2 linked regions of the Nothobranchius furzeri genome follow. The protein of the gene in region 1 purifies or fractionates together with the protein of each later gene. This does not show direct contact. Links are inferred from orthologs where the notes say so. Each region holds a gene or a part of one and is shown in the gene's direction. Other genes may lie near its edges.

Region 1 (5,678 bases):
ACTTAAAAAAATAGAAAAACTTCACCTTTACTTGTATTTAAAGGCTTGCCAGTACGTAAAGTCTTCTCTGAGGTGTTTGCATCCTTCTTCCCATCTTTTTTGCCTTTTTTCCTGTATCCTTCTGGCTCTTTGATCTTGGTGTACGTCCCGCCACACATCCTTTGATGATCCTCCCACCAAGGGTCCAGAGAAGATGGAGCTCGGTTGATAGCCCTCTTCACATAACCAAAGAAAGGCCTCCGGCTCTGGCAGGGCCCATTGCACCTCCACCAGTGCTGCCTGTAGACATCGACCTCATCATGGAAGCTGTGGTAGATCTGACCGAGGGACAAGAGGAGATTGTTATCGTAAAGTCAACCAAAACCACACAGAGCTGAAGGAGAAACACTTACTGTGATTTTCGTCCCACTGGCCTTGTTGATCCTGTTCATGTGTTTGCAGAACTCAGGACCGTGGCCTTCTCGGTCTCGGTTGTTCTGGGTCACAAACAGCAGTGCATGAATCATTTCATGAAGGAGAGTCTGTGGAAACAATCAAATTAACAAATTATTAGCAATAATCTGGATGAGGATTTTCTGTCTTTAAGATCCACTAATGTAAAGTGACCCATCCCACCTCCACCAGGTCTTTTCTGGGTCTCAGCTTCAAAAGAGGCTCACTGAGCCGGATGGAACAGAGTCCGCCTCGGCCTTCGTAAGAACACACACCAGCACACCTAGGTACGGAAACACACAGGAGGCATTTTCTCAAAACTCTGTTATTCCTGTAACACAGCGCTGGAGTGGAGGACATCAAAACAAGAAACAGGACACATTTTATACAATAGAGAAGGCCTTAACATTGCATAGAAGCACAAGGAAACCATAATAGAGCTTCATGAAACTGGACATTTTTTGCTTTTTTAGAAATTATGTTTGACATACTTTGTGTCAGATATTTAGTGGTACCCATTTGTTTAATCTTTTACCTTATTTTTCTTCAATAATGATGTTTTTCCAAGCATCTCGCGCTTTGTGGCTACCATATTTGAATCCCAGTAAAGCCAACAGTGTTTATAAACATCCCTGCTGTAGGAAATCTGGTGAACAAACAAAACTTACAGTGTCATTCTGGGGCTCCACTTCACCTCGACTCCGCTCAGTTTCCCCCAGAAGAACAGGCTATTAAACTCCAGAAACATGGCCCTCACATCTGGGTTTGGGTCCAGCATCTCCCAGGACTCATCCACGATGCTCAGGGGTTTCTCAGGCTCGTGACCCGGCTTCCAGGAGGGGACAGCAGCGCTGCCACCTCCGGCTGCTTCCACTTTCCGTCTCTTACTGCTTTGTTCGAAGTAATTATCCTCGAATCTATTTGATGAGGTTAATGACGTCTCGTACTCATTATCGAACTGCTCCTGTAATTTAATGGCAAGCAGGAAATCCGCATCCATGACATCAGAAGGCAGCTGTGCTAGCTTGTTAGCTGACTTGCTAATGTAAATAGCACGAAGTTCTGGAACAAACGACGTCTGCAGCCTAATTATAAAATCAACCTTTCAGAGAAACATCGGTAAAAGGACTGAAGTCATGACTTTGAAAGATGAATCTCATCTTCTTGTCAGCCAAAGGTATCTGTAATAATAGTCGGTCTGTCCACAGCTCGCGCCAAACAGCAGGTTTGCTACATGTACTACATTACAACGAGTCTCTTTCCGTATGAACTTCTAAATAAAAAACTACTTCAAACTTAATTTCGTGTTTGATTTGGCTTTCCCCGCTTAGTTTTGTATCTTATTTTAATCAGCAGATGACTAAAATTAGCTTGTTTAAACGCTGTTGAAAATCTGTAATGTTTCTGCAGCTACCGTAAACTTCCGGTAGGTAAATAGTTGGACAACAAAACACCTATTCCGGGTGTTGTTCAATAGCCCAGTAATCAGTAACAACTGCAAAATAACAACACACAAAAAGCAAAATGAGTAAATAAATAAACAGAAGCTTTAAAATAAAAATAAAACATTGTTTGGTTTACCTGAAAGATCAATAACAATTTTGTTCTGAGTTTTTGTTGATCATCCTTTTTGTTCTCCCTTCTCGTGACGTTCATGTGACGTTGACAACCCGGGTGTTGGAGAAGCCAGATCCTTTTGGGGTGTTGACCTGTTTTCAGCTTCCTGTGTTTGTTGACGTGGATATGAAGGCGCTCGTTCTCTGTTTGCGTTTCTCGTCAGTTTGTTAACAGTTTTGCTTAATAAGGAAACACGCAGACAACCAAAGATGTCGGAAACCGGGAACCGACTTCGGAAGCTGCTGGAATCGCCCAACTTCGATCCACAGAACTACGTCAAGCAGCTGTCACAGCAGTCGGATGGCGACAGAGACCTTCAGGAGCATCGTCAGAAAATTCAAACTCTGGCTGATGAAACGGCCCAAAACCTCAAGAAGAACGTGTACAAGAACTACAGACAGTTCATCGAAACGGCCAAGGAGATCTCCTTCCTGGAGAGCGAGATGTACCAGCTGAGCCACATCCTCACCGAGCAGAAGAGCATCATGGAGAGCATCACTCAGGCCTTACTGTCCACAGACAAGGACGAGACCTCCAAAGAGATGCAGGCAGCGTTCCCCAAAGAGACAGAGGACCTGAAGCAGAGGACTCTCACCTCACTGCTGGAGAAGGTGGAAGGAGCTAAAAACATCATGGACACCCCAGGGAGACACCTGGTCTACAATGGAGACCTCGTGGAGTTTGATGTGGACAACATGTCCCCCATCCAGAAGGCTCATGCTTTCCTGATGAATGACTGCCTGTTGATTGCCACCTGGCTGCCTAACCGCAGAGGCACAGTGAAGTATAAATACAATGCCCTGTATGATCTGGAGAGCTTTGCTGTGGTCAACGTAAAGGACAACCCTCCCATGAAGGACATGTTCAAGATTCTCATGTTCCCAGACAGCCGCATCTTCCAGGTGGAAAACAGCAAAGTCAAGAAGGAGTGGCTGGAGATCCTGGATGAAACCAAGAAAAAGAAAGCCTCCCAGGACAAACACAAGAAAGAGGAGGAGGTCCCCACCTCTCCCGTGCGAGCCGAAGTGTCCAACAACCCTTTTGATGTGGATGACGACGAGCCGGCAGATGCCGAGGAGAGTGTGGACCTCAGTCTCGAGTGGATCCAGGAGCTGCCCGAGGACCTGGATGTGTGCATCGCTCAGAGAGACTTTGAGGGTGCAGTGGACCTGCTGGACAAGCTGAACGAGTATCTCAAAGACCAGCCTGCGACCCAGACGGTGAAAGAGCTGAAGGCGAAGGTGGATGAGCGTGTGCGGCAGCTGACTGAGGTCTTGGTGTTTGAGCTGTCTCCTGATCGGTCGCTTCGTGGTGGACCTAAAGCGACCCGGCGGGCCGTGTCCCAGCTCATCAGATTAGGTCTTTATTTGTATTAATAAGATCTCACAGACCATTAAAATGTTGATTTCCCAAAACCAGTAAACATTTCAACACAAAGCCAGAGTAGTCCTTGGAGAATCCATGCCTGTAACAATTTAAAGTTATATTTCCAACAGTTGATGATGTCATTTCTGTGTTTCAGGTCAGTCCACCAAGGCTTGCGAGCTGTTCCTGAAGAACCGCGCCGCGGCTGTCCAGACGGCCATCCGGCAGCTCCGCATCGAAGGAGCCACGCTGCTCTACATCCACAAACTCTGCAACATTTTCTTCACCAGCCTGCTGGAAACTGCCAAGGAGTTTGAGACGGACTTTGCGGGGAACACGGGCTGCTACTCTGCCTTTGTGGTCTGGTCCAGATCGGCCATGACGATGTTTGTGGACGCGTTTAGCAAACAGGTCAGCAGAGGCTCAGCGATGTCCCTAACATGAGTCAAGAAATATGTTTCGATCATTATTCTTGATAAAAAAAAAATCAAGATCAATTATTGTTCCAATTATTTCAGAAAATGATTCAAAACGGCCAATTTTCTGTTTTCCAGGTGTTTGACAGCAAGGAGAGCCTGTCGACAGCAGCAGAGTGCGTTAAAGTGGCCAAGGAGCACTGTCAGCAGCTGACGGAGATCGGCCTGGATCAGACGTTCACGCTGCAGTCGCTGCTGGTCAAAGACGTCAAGGCAGCCCTGCTGAGCTACAAGAACATCATCATTGAGGCCACAAAACACCGGAACTCTGAGGAGATGTGGAGGAGGATGAACTTGATGACCCCTGAGGCTTTAACTAAGCTCAAGGTCGAACAGCCTTCCTTAATTCCCAATTTTGTGTTTGTTTCTTTTGTTTGAAGAAGAAAACTAAAGAAAATGCGGGTGTTGAGCAGCATCTAAGGCTTTTCTCTTCGTCTTGCAGGATGAGATGCGTAGCTGTGGGATTAGTTTCCAGCAGTACACGGGCGATGACTGCTGGGTGAACTTGAGCTACACCATCGTGGCCTTCACCAAGCAGATGATGAGCTTCCTGGAAGAGGGTCTGAAGCTCTACTTCCCCGAGCTGCACATGGTGCTGCTGGAGAGCCTGAGGGAGATCATCCTGGTGGCCGTGCAGCACGTCGACTACAGCCTGCGCTGTGAGCAGGACCCCGAGAAGAAGGCTTTCGTCCTGCAGAACGCCACCTTCCTCCACGACACCGTGCTGCCAGTGGTGGAGCGGCGGTTTGAGGAGGGTGTGGGGAAACCGGCCAAACAGCTGCGGGACCTGAGGAAGAGCACGAGGCCGGTGCGGATCAACCCAGAGAGCACCACATCCTTAGTCTGAGGCCGACAGGAGCTTCGACGGCTCGTTTAACAAACCGCGTGAGACTGAAACGGCGGCCGGTGGCCACTCCCCCCTTCCCTCCCTGTCATTTCACCTCCCCCCTCAGACCCGATCCACAACACTAACTACTGGGTGTTTAGATGCTGCAGGAAGGAAATGATGGTAAAATGAAAGAGTCAGTGATGACACAGTCGGACGTTTTATTTAAAGTTAAATTTTCCTGCTGCAGCTTGTTTAGTTCTCAGTTCTTCGGGTTAATAATCCATCATACAAAACGCTTCAGTCCAATGAAAGAATAAACCGACCTCTGCTGGTGTTTGACCTCGTTTACGTGAATATTTTATCTTACAAGGGATTCCTTATGTTAGCAAAACATCTGGTTTTAGGAACGTTTAAACGCGTCAAAATGATTGTATTTTTATTGTCACGTAAAGCTTAAACACACGAGCATGTGACGTGGGGATGACTAAAATTAGCACTCAGATATTCTGTTAAATTGTGGTTTTTGTCTGCAACCAGTAACCTTGTTAAACATACTGTTAGTCTTTTTTGTTTTTAGTATAAATGGGAACTGCAAAGTTTTTTTTTTTGGGGGGGTTGAAATGGGTCCCATTTATTCACACCTGCAGCTTATGCATGCAAATCCATTCAAATCCAATAAAACATGAAGGTTGCTGTTTAATTTTAACAATAAGAAGAACAGAAAATGTAATTTGCAATAAAAACTAAAGTTTAAACTTCACAGAAGTTTCTTTTTCATGTTTTTTTTCTTTCAGAAACTACAAAGTAAACGTTTCTGGTAAAAAAGATCAAAGGTTTAGTGGTTTGAAACGGCATCCTTATTTACAGCTCTTTCATTCCTTTTTGCTCACCTACTAAAAGTCAGATTTAGATTTTTTTTAAGCTTAACGCATTAATTTATGCCTTTGTGTGAATGGCTC
Region 2 (5,622 bases), on another chromosome or scaffold:
TTGAATTTTTAATCAAATAATGTTCATTCTAATCCATATATTCTTAGGAAAGATTTAGGGGAATACAATTTTTAATCAGCTCCTCTAAATCCGAGTCCATGGTCTTGAGTTGGAAAAGGGTAAAATGCCTTCTCCAGGTCAGGGATTAGGTTCTTCCTCAAGTGGAGGAGTTTAAGAATCTTGATTTCTTCCTTGTAAATGATGGAGAGATGGATCAGGAGATCGATCGGTGGATTGGTGCTGTGTCTGCAGTGATGCGGGTGTTACACCGGTCTGTCGTGGTGAAGAAAGCTGAGCTGGAAGACAAAGCTCTTGATTTACAGATTTAACGTTCTTACCCTCACCTAATGTCACGAGCTTTGGGTGGTGACTGAAAGAACGAGAACGTGGATACAAGCGGCTGAAATGAGTTTTCTCAGGGTGTCTGGGATCTCTCTTAGAGATAGGGTAGGAAGCTTGGTCATTAGGGAGGGGCTTGGAGTAGATCCATTGCTCCAAATTGAGAGAAGCCAGTTGAGGTGGCTAAAGCTTGGTTTATGCTTGACGCATTCACTTTCCGCTTGGTGATGCGGCTCGCGGATGGAACGCGCTTCACAACTCGCAGCGTTTATGGTTCATGCTGCTCGTCTCTGCGGTGATCCAATATTCTCCCAAACTGTAGGGGGCAGCATGGAGCTCTATGGCATGCATCCAACACTACACCATAGTAGAAGTAAAAACTGTTGTTTACAACATGGCATTCCAGCATTTTCAACAGCGTCCTCGTCTTTTCCGACAGTGCGAGCTATTTCTCTCCAAGAATTATTAACAACATGTTGATCACGGTGATCTTTGAGAGCTGAATCATACAAATGTCTGTATTTACGAAACTCTGCCATACTAGTTCTTGCTTGTCCGCCATGTTTTTCCGCGTCTGACTGTCCGCGTGGTTAGAAATTTTCCTAGGTGCGCGGTGCGGAAAGTTTGGGCCGTGCGGAGGCGTGATTGTTAAAATGACGCAACTTTTCCGCACGGAGCCGTGCGGACTTCGCGGACGCGTCAAGCATAAACCAGCCTTTAGGGATCCAGTTAGGAAGCCTCCTGGACATCTCCCGGGTGAGGTTTTCTAGACACTTCGACCTAAAGGAAGACCCAGGAAACACTGGCCAGGGAACACCTTCCCTGGAGGAGCTGGTCTATAATGAGTGGATGTATGAATCCGTTTTGACCTTTGTTTTCTGTAACTTGTTTCATCTTTTTTATTAAAAATTGCATTTAACCCTCCCACTCCTAATGGTTGTGACCCCACGAGGAAAGTTGACCATTGAGCAGGGTGGATGGTTTATCCCTTGGGTCCATGTGGCAGGGGTGAGGAGTGAGCACCACCTCACCCCTGCCACATGGACCTCAAGGGATAAACCATCAATCCTGCTCAATGGTGAACATTCCTCGCAAGGAAACCCATAAGGACAGTGGGAGGGTTAAAACATTTTAGATTAGATTACTTTAATGATAAAAAATGCAAACAAGAGGCCAACAAATTGTTTAACTGTCCAGGCAAATGACAGCAAAAAACTTTAAATTGAAATGTGTATTTCACAAAGTTTTCCTATAGAAACAGCAATGCAATAATACTTGAAGTATTAATATACACACGTGTGTATGTATATGGTATGTATATATATTTAAATATAATTTTTCTTTTTTCAGTATGTGTGCAAAACTTGGATGCACATTTGCATATCTGTCTTTTATTCTTTTTCTCCTTGGAAAGGCTATTTTCTATTTTTAATAATTTTATAATTGTTGTAGGTTACAGTAATAGCTGGTGTTTTAACTTGTATATTTTTTTCCTATTCTCCAGTGCTGCCCTAACAAATGAATTTCCCAACTTCCTTCTATTCACTCCTAAGCTTTTTGCTTGCAACTTGATCAGATATGAACATATAAAATATTTAGTGATGTAACACGGTCTTGATTTAGAAAATTTAGACTAATAAATATGAAACATTAAGCTGTTTTATAAATGTGGATCTTTTAAAACTTTTTTATGGATTTATTTGTTGTTAGTGGTAAAATAGTTCCTTAAAAGTTTTATAACTTTTTTTAGAAATATAAAACCATCACATACATAATTTAAAATTCAGTTATTTAGGTACATTTTATAAAATGCTGGAAAAAAAAGGATTTTATTTTACCAGGACTTCGAGATGACGTCACATCCTGTCATCTAGTTTTCATTTCCGGAAGGTGGGGTGTTTTTTTTTTACGGGAGCGTTTTGTTTTTGGGGAGCCAATGTGTCGGTTTGCACAGGGAAAGCAGCCAGAAAGATAGCATCAACCAAGGGCAGTTTTAAAAATTCTGCATTGGTAAGGCTTCCAGTCTTTCTGTTCAGAGTGAAATATGTGTTTTATGTGTTTATTAGCGGGGAAATAACGTAACCACACCTGTTTAACGGTCAAAAGATTGACCTCTTGGGGCGAAAAGGATATTTTAATGACAAAATTGTAATTGAATGAAAATGTTAATTATCACCCGAGATTTGTTTTCCTACGAAACAAAACGCTAATTTTAAGTTTAGTTAATATTTAAGTTTATGCTAGCAGATAGAAAGATGTGCCCGTTTTTGTTCGCATTATGTTTTTCCTTAAGTGAATCAAAACTGATGTCACAACGTCGTGCTTGTATAGCAACGACAGTTTTAGCATTATAGTAAAACGTGTGTACTAACGTGTTTAATTCTGAAGAAACGTGTGAAACTGGTGTTTTCAAGGCTCAATGACAGTTTTCAGTAGGTGTTGCAATTCCCACTAGTGCTGAAAAGTTTTCTCTGAGGACACACCCAAATGAGTTCAGGACTTCTTCTGCTGATGCTGTTGTAACTTTAAATTATGTCAGCAAAAAGACCAGTTTACATTTCAGGATGTCCCCCTTGAACAAACTAAAGACCCGTTTTGTGTCATTAAAATATGTAATTTATTAGGTTATGTCTTATTTTGAAGGGCCACTCAAAGGTGATGGCAGTTTAGCAAGTTTATGGTCAATTGTTTACATATAAACATAATGCTGTGGGCATGTGGGGTGACGTTTTCAGCGTGTGTTTGTGAGAGGGGGTGGAGAACATTGCTGGCAAAGCAACATTCTTTCTCATTAATAACACCAACTGTATTTTAGTATCGGGGGATTTGAGGAATATAATTTATCATCCAAATGCATGCGTGTCCAGAGAGACAAACGCCTGTTTTAAATAATCCACATAAGCCCAATTGTTTTAGTTCTACTCTGGACTGAACTTACAACCGTCCCATCATAAACAACTCGTGAGCACAATGCTGCTGACCCCAGCACATTTATCACATACTCGAGGAAACTAACCCAGGAATTTCTTGGCAGTCTTGTAAGGCAAGGTTTTGGCTTTTAAAGCTAATACACATTATGTTTTTGAGCCAGCCAATGCTGATTAGGATAATATGTTCATTGTCAAAGATAATCACCTAATCTTACTTAGCTTTGTTTCAATGCCTCTGCACATCTAATAATGATGTAATCTAGTTTAGAAATATGTTTATTTAACATTTTTATCATTCATCTTAGACAGTATGTCTTGTAAAGTAAACCATAACATGGTTCGTTGCTTGCACAACCCATATATGACCAAATCATATTAAAAATCTTTTTTTTCTCCAGAGATGCTGATTGAGATACAAGCATACTTTAGATGTGACAGGTGTATGTAAGGAACTAGCTATGAAAACTGTAGCATCCTGTTTCCAACGAGGAAGAGGAACAAGTTATGTAAATATCTGTTTGCAGAACATTGTTATAGTTCACTCTATTTTTAAATGATTCACATCTGTTAATAGTCCATAACCCATCGCTACCAGCTAGTTCCTGTGGGCTTGTTTGCCAGGCTGATGCAGAAGCTGTTTATTAGGATTTTTACATTGCACTTACTGCAACTAAAGATATATTAGTGCTGTGAAAAATTATGCATTAATTTAGTTAATTAATGTAACATGTTTAATGCATTTAAAAAAATTAACATAATTAATGCAGGTTTTTTATTATTATTTTACGTAATCCGACACCTCAAACTCGTGAGCGGCTCTGAAGGAGGGGGCAGCATTGCGCAATGCTGGTGTCTGACCTGCTGGAAATGATTAGAAGCAGTAGCAGCAGAAAAAGAGGAAAAGCTTGCTAGCATGGACAATGCTGTCCATGGAGCGCTGTCTAGATCAGTACAAAGCAGAGCCCAAAATGGATATTGGACATTGAAGAAGAAGAAGAAAATATCATTTCTATAGCGCCTCTCAAGATAAAAATCACGAGGCACTTCACAAAAACAAAAAATGTAAAAATATAAAAAATTTAGAAAATGGTTAAAAATGAGCAAAAAATAGACAATTGTGATTAAAAAATGTTAAGAAAGAGAGAGTGAATAGGAAAGAGGGAAATCAGTGGATCCTGAGGAAGGTGGAATAGGTGGGGAGAGCAGATAGAGTGGTGAAGAAGGTCATACAAAAGCCACTTTGAACAAGTGAGTTTTCAGCTGCTTTTTATAAGAGTCCACTGAGTTCATTACCGTGGTGGTTGAAGAGAGAAGAAGCATATTCCAGACTGGCACCTGTTGCATGCAAGTACCTGTCAACCCCTGCAACCACAGTGCCTTGTGAGAGATTATTCTCACTCTCAGGTCACATCGTTGGTGCGTTCCAGGCAGCTGCGTCCAGCACACGCCACGTTCTCAAAGTGGCGCAACCAAAAAACCATAATTAACCCATGATCGTTCATGTCCACACATGTTCTCTACTTTGTCTTATTTGTGCCTGAAGCGCTGTGCTACTGCGGAGCTCATCACCTGTGCTGAGGTGATTTCACCTCACTGGCGCAGCATCGAAACGCGCTCTCCGCTTTGCAGTCAGGAGATCCCTTTGATCTGCTCAAAAGTAACTGATGAGGTGAAAAAGTAAGAATCCAGGCAGCAGTTTCTCTGGAGAGTTTAGAGGAGACGCAGGAAGATGAGAGACAGACTGGACCGGAAAATAATTAAATAAAAACAAGAAAACAAAACAAAAGTGTTGAAAAGTAAAATGTAGGTAGAATTATCGCCACTACACGTTTTTACTTATATAAATCAAGCTACACACATGTAATATTTATACATTTGATACAATTCAGATCACCTTCAAAACTCAGTCACACACCTAGGGCCGTTTCAAGGCATTTTGGGGGCCAAGGCAAAACAGAACACCCCCCACCCCTATAACTGGGCTCCCCAGAAGCCTTTGTATAATCCAAACCCTGTCCAGTGTTTATAAAAGCCCCTCAGACATTACTGACATGTTCTAATATTATCAGATGAAAAACTAAATTATCAGACATGCTGCCTCGTCTGCTTCTTTTCTAAACTTGCAAAAGTAACAAAACCATTTGAAAGCCACTATTTGTGGATTCTCTGAAAGTTTCCATGGAGTGTGTGACAACTTAGTTTTTCATTGAGAAATATAAAGTTGGACAAAAGTGAGAGCAGCCAGGCTAATGATCAGATAAATTGCGATTAATCACAATCAAGTACAGAAAATTGTGTGATTAATTAAATAATTTTTTTAATCGACTGACAGCTGGATTTAAGTTGGATTTTC

Evidence for each region.
Region 2: the proteins of exoc8 (region 1) and ralba purify together in Homo sapiens (affinity purification with western blotting; 6 studies listed by BioGRID and IntAct, counting the BioPlex papers as one, with this or other methods). This does not show direct contact. The link is inferred for Nothobranchius furzeri from reciprocal best matches to the Homo sapiens genes EXOC8 and RALB.

Annotation. Positions count from the first base shown.
Region 1 is NC_091742.1:10,761,600-10,767,277, forward strand, and holds exoc8 (exocyst complex component 8), read left to right. Parts: upstream 1-2,109; 5' UTR 2,110-2,258; coding exon 2,259-3,408; intron 3,409-3,571; coding exon 3,572-3,825; intron 3,826-3,968; coding exon 3,969-4,217; intron 4,218-4,332; coding exon 4,333-4,737; 3' UTR 4,738-5,058; downstream 5,059-5,678. Other genes in the region: DNA-dependent metalloprotease SPRTN, read right to left, coding at 26-317, 393-521, 616-715, 1,101-1,432. UniProt on the Homo sapiens protein: Component of the exocyst complex involved in the docking of exocytic vesicles with fusion sites on the plasma membrane.
Region 2 is NC_091754.1:12,636,170-12,641,791, forward strand, and holds the start of ralba (ras-related protein Ral-B), read left to right. Parts: upstream 1-2,221; 5' UTR 2,222-2,349; intron 2,350-5,622. UniProt on the Homo sapiens protein: Multifunctional GTPase involved in a variety of cellular processes including gene expression, cell migration, cell proliferation, oncogenic transformation and membrane trafficking.